3 linked regions of the Macaca mulatta genome follow. The protein of the gene in region 3 interacts with the protein of the main gene of each other region in a pairwise test. Links are inferred from orthologs where the notes say so. Each region holds a gene or a part of one and is shown on either strand. Other genes may lie near its edges.

Evidence for each region.
Region 1: the proteins of LDOC1 (region 3) and FAM50B interact in binary tests that used the Homo sapiens proteins (3 or more experiments, as listed by UniProt). The two-hybrid records come from large-scale screens. The link is inferred for Macaca mulatta from reciprocal best matches to the Homo sapiens genes LDOC1 and FAM50B.
Region 2: the proteins of LDOC1 (region 3) and GNL3L interact in binary tests that used the Homo sapiens proteins (3 or more experiments, as listed by UniProt). The two-hybrid records come from large-scale screens. The link is inferred for Macaca mulatta from reciprocal best matches to the Homo sapiens genes LDOC1 and GNL3L.

What each region holds. Positions count from the first base shown.
Region 1 is NC_133409.1:179,407,847-179,411,610, forward strand, and holds FAM50B (protein FAM50B), read right to left. Parts: upstream 2,396-3,764; 5' UTR 2,303-2,395; intron 2,004-2,302; 5' UTR 1,981-2,003; coding exon 1,003-1,980; 3' UTR 501-1,002; downstream 1-500.
Region 2 is NC_133426.1:54,369,571-54,373,567, forward strand, and holds the start of GNL3L (guanine nucleotide-binding protein-like 3-like protein), read left to right. Parts: upstream 1-1,197; 5' UTR 1,198-1,286; exon of another isoform or gene 1,287-1,568; intron 1,569-1,625; exon of another isoform or gene 1,626-3,000; intron 3,001-3,433; 5' UTR 3,434-3,483; coding exon 3,484-3,499; intron 3,500-3,997.
Region 3 is NC_133426.1:147,689,497-147,692,694, forward strand, and holds LDOC1 (protein LDOC1), read left to right. Parts: upstream 1-1,348; 5' UTR 1,349-1,442; coding exon 1,443-1,883; 3' UTR 1,884-2,698; downstream 2,699-3,198. UniProt on the Homo sapiens protein: May have an important role in the development and/or progression of some cancers.

The sequences.
Region 1 (3,764 bases), on a different chromosome or scaffold from region 3:
TTTTATTTTTAGTAGAGACGGGGTTTTACCATGTTGGTCAGGCTGGTCCCGAACTCTTGACCTCAGGTGATCCACAAACCTTGGCCTCTCAAAATGCTAGGATTACAGGCGTGAGCCACCACACCCGGCCTGAATACAATATTTTTAAAAATCAAAATTAACATAAATAATTCACAATGAATAAAATACAAACGTTTTCAATAAAGACAGGATCTGCAACTGTGCCCTTTGGAGTCATATTGGAGCAAAAGGAAAATCAATGATACTCACCCTGCAGGCTACTTGCATTAGCTCTGTCCTCCTAACTTCTGGGCTAAACAACCCAGCTAAAGGCAACTAGAGGGGGGTTGCTCCCCAACCTTTGCAAGCCCCCTCCTGCTGGCAACTGCTGATCCTGGGACCGGTAATGGGCAGGTCCACCTTTGCCCTCAAATGGTTCTGAACTAGGTCACTGAAGTCTTTTAAATAAATTAACCAAAACCATAATAATAACAAAAAACATTTATTAAGTGCTACGTGTTTTACAAATATTAACTCAAACCTCACATCCATTTTTTAAAGTAAGTGCTCTTGTTATTTCCTTTTACAGGTGACCAAAGTGAGGCATGGGGGTTTAATAAGCTTACCCAAAACTACACAGCAAGGAGGAAGCTGCGTCGGGAATCAAACTCAGTCACTGTGGCCCCCAAGACCATGCTCATAACCATGAGGTAAAAAATGTGCCTCCTCTTCTAATTTCTGTCTCACAGTGGGCCCAGACATGGTTTCAATACAGCTCAGCAGAGCAATGCAGCAAATCCAGGTAGGGACACTAAAATACTCAGAAAAGGACCAACCAAACAACCAAAGCATAACATCAGCAATAGGACAACCAATATGAATCATGAGAACCCTCTGTCTTTATTAAATTCGGGGGAAGAAATCAAGGTCAGGAAATCAAGTGACTGGTGGCGGGGCATAGAAAGGAGTGTCTCCCCCGGTTTCTGCTCTGGCGGGCGGGTGTCAGCGGATGGTGTACTTGTCCCACTTCTTCTCGGGGTCGTAGGCCTCCCAGCGGCTGGCGGGGAAGATGTGCTTGTTCTTCTCGTACCAGCTCCGCAGCACCACCTTGCCCGCGTGCGACTCGTCCTTCTCCATGGTGGCGTCGCTGAGCAGGCGCACGTCGTCGTGCACATCGAAGTTGAAGAGCGGCCCGCTCTTGCCCCTTGCCTTGGCGATGATGAAGTCATAGAAGGTGTGGTAGTGCGGCAGGATGAGGTCCTCCTTGATGAACATGAGCTGCTCCACGCCCGCGGAGCGCAGCTCCAGGAAGTCCTTGCGCAGCCCCTGCAGCGCCTTCTTCAGGAACTGCTGCACCGTGTTGCCCTTGCGCACACGCACCGTGCGCCGGTGGCCCGAGCCGTCCCAGTAGCTGAAGGTGACCTCCATCTCCTCGTCCTTCACTTTCTCGCGCTGCGCCTCCCACTCTTGGCGCAGCTCCTCCCGGAGCCGGTTCTCCTCCTCCTCGCGGTCGCGGTCGGGCAGGAAGCTGGTGTCCACGTCGGGGTTCTTGCCCAGGTTTCCGGCGCGCCTGGCCTCGGCCGCGTCCGCCTGGTCATCGAGGTCGTCGAGCGCGAAGGACAGGCAGGAGATCTTACGCTTGCGCTCGCGCCGGTGCTCCTGCTCCCGCAGCCGCTCCTGCTGCAGCCGCTGCTCCTCCAGCTGCTGGCGCTTGGCCAGCTGCCGCTCGCGCTCCCTGATCAGGGCCTCCTGCCGGGCCTTCATGTCGTTCAGGGTCACCAGGCCCACCGTGCTGGACTTCAGCTCGGCCTCCACGGCATCGTAGTGCGCCGAGAACTTCTTGTCCACCTGCGACTTGAGGATGGTCTCCTCGGCGATGCGCTGCTTCAGCACCTCCATCTGCTCCCGCTGCTTCTCGCGCTTCTTGAGGAGGTGCATGGCACGGCCCGCCTCGCGCATGGTGCCCTTGTACTGCGCCATGGCCCCCGCCTACCCGCTGGGCTCTGCAGCAAAGAGGAAAAACGGGGCAAGTAGAGAGGGGCCCGTGCAACTGCGGGAAATGCAAAGCTCTGCGCCTCCTCACAGGGCTTTCGGCAGTGATGGAAGCGTTTAGGGGCTGGGCCGACCTGCTAGGGTCACCAACCTGACGGTGTCACCACGCACCAATTTCCAGCCTTTTCTTTGACCTCAATAAATGCAAATGCAAATGGCCCCACGTAACTGGTGGCTGCCATGCCTGAGCGCTGCGCTGAATTTGGGGAGCTGCATACAGAGAGGGTTGGGCTACTGAGCGAACCCTTACCTGCCCAAGCACCCTGCCGAGCGGAGACACGCGGGAGTTGACCTCCACGAGAACCACCCACGAGCAAAGGCCCACCCGTCCCGGGCTCTCGCGACAGCCACGGACACAGGAAGTGGAAGCGGTGCGCCCCCTGGCGGGGAGGCGGGCCCTGAGGAGAGCGCCAGGCTCCTGGTAGGGCGGCTGCGGAAACAGGAAGTGGAGGCGGCTCGCCCCCTGGCGGAGAGGCGGGCCCTCGGGAGAGCGCCTGGCTCCTGGCGGGGGCGGTGCTCCTGTGGGGCGGGCCAGCGCGGGGAGGAGCCTGGAGGAGGCGCCTCTGGCCCTGCCCAGCCAATGCTGGCCGGAGCTCCTGTTTTCATGCTGTGGGCAGGGAGGGCCCGCACCAGCGGTGCGTGCTTGCTGAGCCTTCTCGTGCCCAGTTGTAAACACGCAGAAGCAATGTGGGCGCTGCGCAAGCTGCTGTGGTCACCCAGAGAGGCTTGCAACCGCCTCGCAAGGCTGCAGCCCCTGCTCTCCAACCCTCCTCCTCCCGCGTCTCCTCCCGCCTCTGATGCTACCCCACTGTGGCCGTCTCATGAACGTTACCTGCACACCACTGCTTGTAATTCTTTCTTATGGCCCTAACATAACAACCGTTCTTTGATAATGGAACCCTACTCACCCCCCAATTTCATGACAAAACCTGCACTCAGCTTGTTAGACCTCTTCTATGCAGCAGTTTCCCCCCGGGTTCTAAGCTCTAATAACCATGGGAAACTGAGTTAAAGTATAGCAGTGTCTTTACTGTGAGCCTTTAACATGCCAGTTTCCACTGCAACTCTCCAAGGGCAGGGCAGACCAGTTCATGTTGTGTGATCGTTTCTCCCCTGCAGGAGATCTGGGAATACTCGCTGAAACCAGTGCTTCCTGGGACCTAGTTTGGAAAAGCTGGTTGTGAAATACACACTGCAGTTCAGCCTACTCCCGTCTAACAGCAACAATGCCTGTGAGCATAACCTTACCAAGAAGCGTGAATCATATGATAGTTACCTATGGCACCCACGTATCCAGAGGAGAATAGCGGGTGTGAGCACTCATCAAATTGTCCAAGCCAGAAACCTAGGCCTTTTCCTGGAATGACGTTCCTTCACATGAAATCGATTGCAGAAGAGCCTTTCACACTTTCCTTTTTCTCCCATTTCCCACCACTTGCCTTAATCTAGGAAATTAGCATTTTAAAAAAATCTGAAGCCTTCTCATTGTTGCCTCATCACCAGAATACAAGAATATCTTATTTTATTGAGCTCTGGGATACTGTGTGTTTTGTTTTTGTTTTTACAGATTGAAGATTTGTGGCGATGCAGCATCAAGTGCCTACTTTCTCCATTTTTCCAACAGCATGTACTCACTTCGTGTTCCTGTGTCACATTTTGGTAATTCTTGCAATATTTCAGACTTTTTCATTAGGCTATCTGCTATGGTGATC
Region 2 (3,997 bases), about 93 Mb from region 3:
CCTCCTCTGGAGACACAGCCACATAAAAAACTACAATATTGTGGTAAGTGCTAGCTTAGCTGTACAGGTAAGGTGCTCTGGGTTTCTGACTTATCTGGGAAAGTCAGGGAAGGTTTCAACGAAGTGACAAGTTAGGTCTTAGAGAAACAGAAAAAAAATTGCAAATGCAGGGGGAAAGGTGCAAGTGATCAGGGCTGGTTTGGGGTCCAGAGGAATTTCAGGTGTCTCTAGGATGAGAGGTTAGAAGCCCTCCAACGAAGTAGAGAGATAGTGAGTCCTGTTTATGGGTAAAGGGACAGAGGGAGTCATTTTCAGCCCATCTGTGCTTGAAGTGGAGAAACAAACCCACCCTCGGAGGCACAAAGTCCCACCTACTCTGTGCCCCACCCCAGGGTTTAGGCTTGAGGAAGAGGAGGGGCTGGAATTAAACCATCAGGAAGAAAACATTTTCAGACTAATATTTACTGTTTTGTGGGGGCAGACTTCACTTCCCAGCCAGCTCCTTGAGATGGCTTCAGAAATCCCTACTTGCCCCACTCCAGAGATATAAATTCATTCCCTTCTGTAGAAGCTGCTCCGGGATTGAGGGAAGGATGGAGTAGGAGGGGAAGAAGGCAAAAGGGTGGGAGAGGCTTCTAGTTCTGGCTTCTGCTCCAGCTCGGGTTGGGTCTGACCATAGATCTGAACGTATGCAGAGAGAGCTGGGAGTGCTCAGGGATTGTCTGGGGCCCAAGGACCCGGGAAGGTGGCTGGGAACAGCTAACCAATTCACTTCAGGTGGGGAATACTCGGCCAGCCATGTGACCTAGGCGGCCATTTTCTCACACCCTGCTGTCGCCATCTTCCATGCAGACAAAGACACCATCCCCCACCCTTATGTGATTCGGGCGTGGTGACTGCCTGGTTACTGAGATTTGGAAGCACGCATATTTAACCCCAGACAAATGCCCGCAGACAACATTTTGGCTTGCAAGTAGGGTATGTAGCCGCACCAGTCGACCCGCCGCTTCTTCCCGGTCACTTGGCCGTCCTCCTTTGCCCTCCTCGGCTCTTTCCTTACCTACGGGGCAGCCAGGAGGCGGGGCCAGCGTGGTCGCGAGGAAGGGACGGGCGGGCGCGAGCTGTCAGTCAGAAGCCCCGTCCCCTCGCGGAGAACGCACAGTGGGCGGAGTCGGGCGCCGCCGGCCTGGGATCCGGAAGTCGGAGCCTAGCTGCGCGAGAGCATCTGCTCGCCCAACCGACTTGTCGTGTTGCCCTCGCTTCTCAGATCTCCGCCGGAAGTGTAGGTAAGAAACTACTCTCCTCTTTTCTCACCTAGACGGCCGGGCAGTTAGGATCGTGTATTGGATGTGAAACCAGAGATGCCCGCCAGCCTGGAATAGAGAGGTAAACAGCCGGATCCTTTCCAGGGTAGAAGGACCCGGAAGAGGGGCAGGGTTCGCGGCACACGTGGAGACGCGCCTAATTGCCTTTTCGCGGAGTGGAGTTTGCCGGGAGAGGGGCATTGCCCCATCCCACCTAGAAAGGTGTAGACCCGGGACACACGGTGTAGAGAGGGACAAACTTCACTTGTGTGGTGAAGCGTTGATCGTCCTCAAGATAGTGAGGCTGCATTCTGCATTCACCCTGTATAGACAGGAGTCGACCCACCGAAGGAATGGGGGACATCCACCCCAACCGTGTAGAGACATCTCCCTCAACCCAGCTGAGCATCGCAGACTTCTCCCGACTTAAGGCATTTCCTTGGCTTGACTCTAGACAGCCGCCTCGAGGCACCTCCTCAGGACAGACAGACGCTTTGATATATCTGCCCCCATACCAGTATAGAGGAGCTTAGAAACATTTAATATACAGAGGGAGGGCACCTCCTCCCCATTCGCGTAGACCTAGAGCGCTCAGTGTCCCTCCCCAACTCACCCGTTCCCAAAGTGGTTGCAGATACAGGCCTCATCCTATAGACAACTAAGCCGATTGCCCCCTCCTCCTAGGTTAGATTGAGTCCCCATTGTGGAGAATCAGACCTGATCCCTACTTCCGTAGCCCCCGTTTTACCGAATGTGTAATTTTTCGAAGCACCCAAACAGAAACAGACCTTAATCCATGAAGAGACAGGTCTGCCCCTTGAGGGGCCATGGGGGTAGAGGGGCTCAGATGTGTTCCTCTCCTTTTGAGGTAGACACAGATCATCCCCCTACCTCCCCTACCTCCCCCAAAGATTTAGCATCACTAAATGTAGCAAGGGAGATACCCCACAGGAGCAGATAAGCAGGTCTCCCTCCCTGTAATGTTGAGAGGGAGTGACATCGTTGATTACCCGGCAGTGCAGTGCCTACGGTCTCTCCCCTTTACCCAAGGTAGTGGAGCTCAGATCTGTTTCTCTCCACCCAGGGTAGAATCACAGACGCCCCCACCCCCAAGTATTAGGGCTGATCTACTAATTTATAGCTGCATTGCCTGCCCCTTCCACACACCACCCATGCAGAGAACCAGAGCCCCTGTTTCTTTCAGTGTTAGTGTGCTGCTGACTTCAACCAGCATAAAAGATGAAAGTTGTCACAGTCCACCTCCCATAGAAGGGTCCAGAATAGCTCACTGCGGGTAAGGTGCAGACCTGCTTATTCAAAGCTGCATAGTTGTGGAATCAGGCATATCGATCCCTCACCTCAGCCCTCTCCAGGGTAAAGAGACGCAGGACCTATCCCCACAATCTAGAGATAAACAGATCTGTGGTTCTTTTCCCATGCAGCAGAGATGCACACAGCCACTTTGTGGGTTTCCCCAGTTTCTCTGCACCCCAGAGTAGGGGGACAGATGGCAATCCCCCCAACCCAAATCACTGAGGTATAGACCCCAGGCATATGCAGGCACAGATTTTTACCCCCTCCTCCAAGATTTTGTACTTATCTCAGTCCATATAGACACTCAGGTAAGAATCCCTGTTCTCAGGCCCCTTTTCCCCAGGGTAGACTCCTGGGCTCTATTTACGCCCTTCCCCACCACCTCTCCCAGGGCAGATGAGGTATAGAATCCCCTACTTGGGAAAAGAGGCACTATTATCACCCCATATAGAAGTAGACCATCCTTGCGTGCCCCTTTCCCCTCAGTGTGGAGGTGTTTAGCACTAGTCTTCTACCTAGAATATAACACTATAGTGTGGAGGAATAAGAACCAAAGACCTCATCTGATGCTTTGAGCCACTGACTCCACCCGGGATGAGGTTGAGACCTATTCCTCCCTTTGGGTAGTATGACACTTCCTTCTCTGTGTGGACTCAGCCATATGAGGCTCTAGCTTCAGCTTCTCCCAGTTTTCCTAATTATTACGGCTTCCTCATAATGTTCTTTAACATTTTACCTTTAGGGGACTTAGGAGGGGGCTTGTGGCATTGTAGTTCCCAGCTGTCTTCAAATTGCTTCTTCGTCCATTCTTACAGGAGGAGAACAAGCAGATTTGAACCTATCTGCTTTCAAGCTGGTCATCGCGATGAAACTTAGACACAGTGAGTTTCCTTTACCACCCCTCCCAATCCTGTGCTTTTAATGAATATTCATAGAATTTCACAGCAACTTTTCGTTGTTTTGGTTTTGTTTTGAGATGGAGTCTTGCTCTGTCACCCAGGCTGGAGTGCAGTGGTGCAATCTCAGTGCACTGTAACCTCCGCCTCCAGGGTTCAAGCATTTCCTGCCTCAGCCTACCGAGTAGCTGGGATTATAGATGTGAGCCACCATGCCAGGCTACTTTTTGTATTTTTAGTAGAGACGGAGTTTCACCATGTTGGCCAGGCTGGTCTCGAACTCCTGACCGCAAGTGATCTGCCCCTGTTGGCCTCCCAAAGTGCTGGGATTACAGGCGTGAGCCACTGCACCCGGCCTTCACAGCAACTTCTAAAAACTGCTGAATATGTTTCAGATCACTCGGTCTGGGTCTTTTTCATATGGTATCATTGCTGTCTTCCTGACTTCCTTGTCAGAGAATGTTTCCCTTATGCCCCATTCTC
Region 3 (3,198 bases):
GTTTGTTTGTTTTTGTTTTTTTTTTTAGAGATGGAGTCTCGCTTGGTAACCAAGGCTGGAGGAGTGCGCTGGCGCTATCTCGGCTCACTGCCACCTCCGCCTCCCGGGTTCAAGCGATTCTCCTGCCTTAGCCTCCTGAGTAGCTGGAACTACAGGCACCTGCCACCACGCCCCGCTAATATTTTGTATTTTTAGTAGAGACAGGGTTTCACCCTGTTAGCCAGGATGATCTCGATCTCCTGACTCGTGATCCGCCCTCCTTGGCCACCCAAAGTGCTAGGATTACAGGAGTGAGCCACCGCGCCCGATTCCTGTGGCTACTCTATGGAGAATATACTATAGGAAGAAAAGAGTGAAAGCTAAGTGATTAGTTGCAGCAGTCTGGGTGAGAAAGGCTGGGGATCAGGGTGGCAGTGGTAGAAATGACAAGTCATGACTGAATTGGCAATATATTTGAAAGCAGAGCCAACAATTCCTGTCGGCTCTAGGGATCCGTTTAAAGTAGAAAAACAAAATTATTTAAAAACACAAACATCTTAACAGTTCATTTTTAAGTACAGAATAAAACCCAGTGGCCAAAGGCACTAATAGCAGGACAAGAAATAGAGAATCAAAGATATGTGGGATGCCTGCAATTGATTATTGGATGCTGATTTTGCAAAACTTCTTTATATCCTGCTACTTAGGTTTGTTTTTTTTTGTTTGTTTGTTTTAAGGGAGTATGCCATATTATTCCCCTACTAAAGAAGTCACTGTTTAAATACTGCCTTTTTCATGAAAGGCAGGAACCCCTGAAGGTCTTCATGATCCTAAAAGGAAGTGTGAGTCCCACAGTGCAGCCAGCAGTGTCAATACTTCTCTGAGTGAGATTTAAACAAGAAAGAAAATGTGTTAATAAAACATCACGCCAAGAGAATCTAGTGGCCACAGACCCACGAAGGAACAACTGAGTTGTGAGAGTTGCCTAGGTAGAAGGGTGGCTAATCCTTTCAGTTTGAACAAATTTGCCTTCTCTGAGACCAAACTCAGCGCTCGCCAGGTCCTCTGCTAACGCAGGCCCCACAACCAGGAGCTAGGGGAGCCTACCCCAGCCTTTAACTGCCCGCCTAGAGACCTACCACAAGCCGGTGGTTCAGCGACCCAATGCATCCTTTTCCTGGCCACGCCCTCTTTGTCTAAACCCTTCCCATCCCGGCCACGCCCCCACGCAGCCGCGGCCGCCAGTCTGGCCACGCCCCTCCCGCGCCGCGCCGGCGCACCATCCGTCCGAATGGCCTCGTGGGCGGAGCTTGCGTAGCCTCCCGGACCCCGGCGCGCACCGCCCCCCGCCCCCAGCCCCTGGCCATCGAGCGTCTCCGTGGACACGCACTTCCTGCGAGGCCTCCGTGCGCACCTTGGCCGAGCCGAACCGAGCCGAGCCCTGTCCTTCCAGGCTGTTCGCAATGGTGGATGAGCTGGTGCTGCTGCTGCACGCGCTCCTGATGCGGCACCGCGCCCTGACCATCGAGAACAGCCAGCTCATGGAACAGCTGCGGCTGCTGGTGTGCGAGAGGGCCAGCCTGCTGCGCCAGGTACGTCCGCCGAGCTGCCCGGTGCCCTTCCCCGAAACGTTTAATGGCGAGAGCTCCCGGCTCCCTGAGTTTATCGTGCAGACAGCGTCTTACATGCTCGTGAACGAGAACCGATTCTGCAACGACGCCATGAAGGTGGCATTCCTAATCAGTCTCCTCACCGGGGAAGCCGAGGAGTGGGTGGTGCCCTACATCGAGATGGATAGCCCCATCCTAGGTGATTACCGAGCCTTCCTCGATGAGATGAAACAGTGCTTTGGCTGGGATGACGACGAAGACGACGACGACGAGGACGAAGAGGATAATTACTAGGCCCTCGGGCCTCGGGGGGAGGGCCCTGCACGCCGTCACCCCCTCCCCGCAGCCCTCACCCCGCCAGGAGCCAGTGCTCTCCCCCTTGCCCTCCGGTCCCCTTCCCTACCCGCGCCCGTCTGCTCTTTCTTCATTTCTCCGTAGTGCTTGTCTTTGTTCCAGGAATAGTGCTCCAGTTACCTGCTGCTGGGGTTGGGGCTGGAGCCTCACTCACTCGGAAGTGCTTGGAAGTGTCATCTACCCTGGCCATCCCGGGGATCCCTCCCCTGCTAATCTGAACTGTGTCCTGAACCCCAGCTATTGGCCAGGCCCCTGTTACAAACTGCGCAGACCACCCATAGCCCTGCTGCTGCCACCTGCCCTGCTGCCAGGCTTACATCTGCCCAGAGAACTATGCTGCCACTTCACATCCACTCACCACATCCCACCTACAGACTACCGCCTTTCGAGATCAGGACCAACCTGGAAAATGCCAGAGTTGGCTCTGCCTCTTCGGACATTGATTTGGACAGCTCACCAACCCCTGAAGAGGCCAGTCATTCAGCCTGGTTAGTTTTCTACCTACTCCGAGTGTCCTCCCCTGCCATACCAGATTGCTGCAGGGGCGCGGTGTGCCTGACAGCCAAATTGTTGATATTTCTTTTTTCCTATGCACTGGTTTTACACAGCTGTCATTTTTCTTTCAAAATTGCAGCAGTCCCACAGATGTATGCATTTGGACAAATAGTACTAAAAACAAAACAAACAAGCACTCAGCCCAGCTCCTCAATACTACCTGGAAAAAGCATTGGCATTATTTTCAATAAATATCAAGCACTAAAAAACGAAATGATTGTCTTTTAATAGTTAAGTGCTATCACTGACCTCTAGAACTGTCACTGTGACTACCGTTATTCCCATGGAAATCAGGGAATACAACCAATCCTAGGAATCCCTGCTGTCAACTCCAGGCTGCTGGGGACAGCTACCTCAGGGCTTTGTCAGGGTTCTGATGCTTCCTTCACCAACGCATTTCTTAAAGCCCTGGCAAAGGGTGTGTTCTCTGGGTCCTCCAGGGTGGCATGGGTAAGGGTTGGCTGAGCAGATGGCAAAGAGGGCAGTATTAATAATTAGACCGTAACAACAGGCATAAACCAGGACATATATATGTATTGCTCCTAATTCTCTGAGCTTTTGGATTCCTTAATATTGTGCCAGGGAAGTTCTGCCCCTTAATCCTTATTGCCTATATGCAGCTGTTGAGTTCAGGCTCCAGAGAGCCAACATAGTACATTGTCACTTTCAAACTCCAAATAGCCAACATGTCACTTACAGG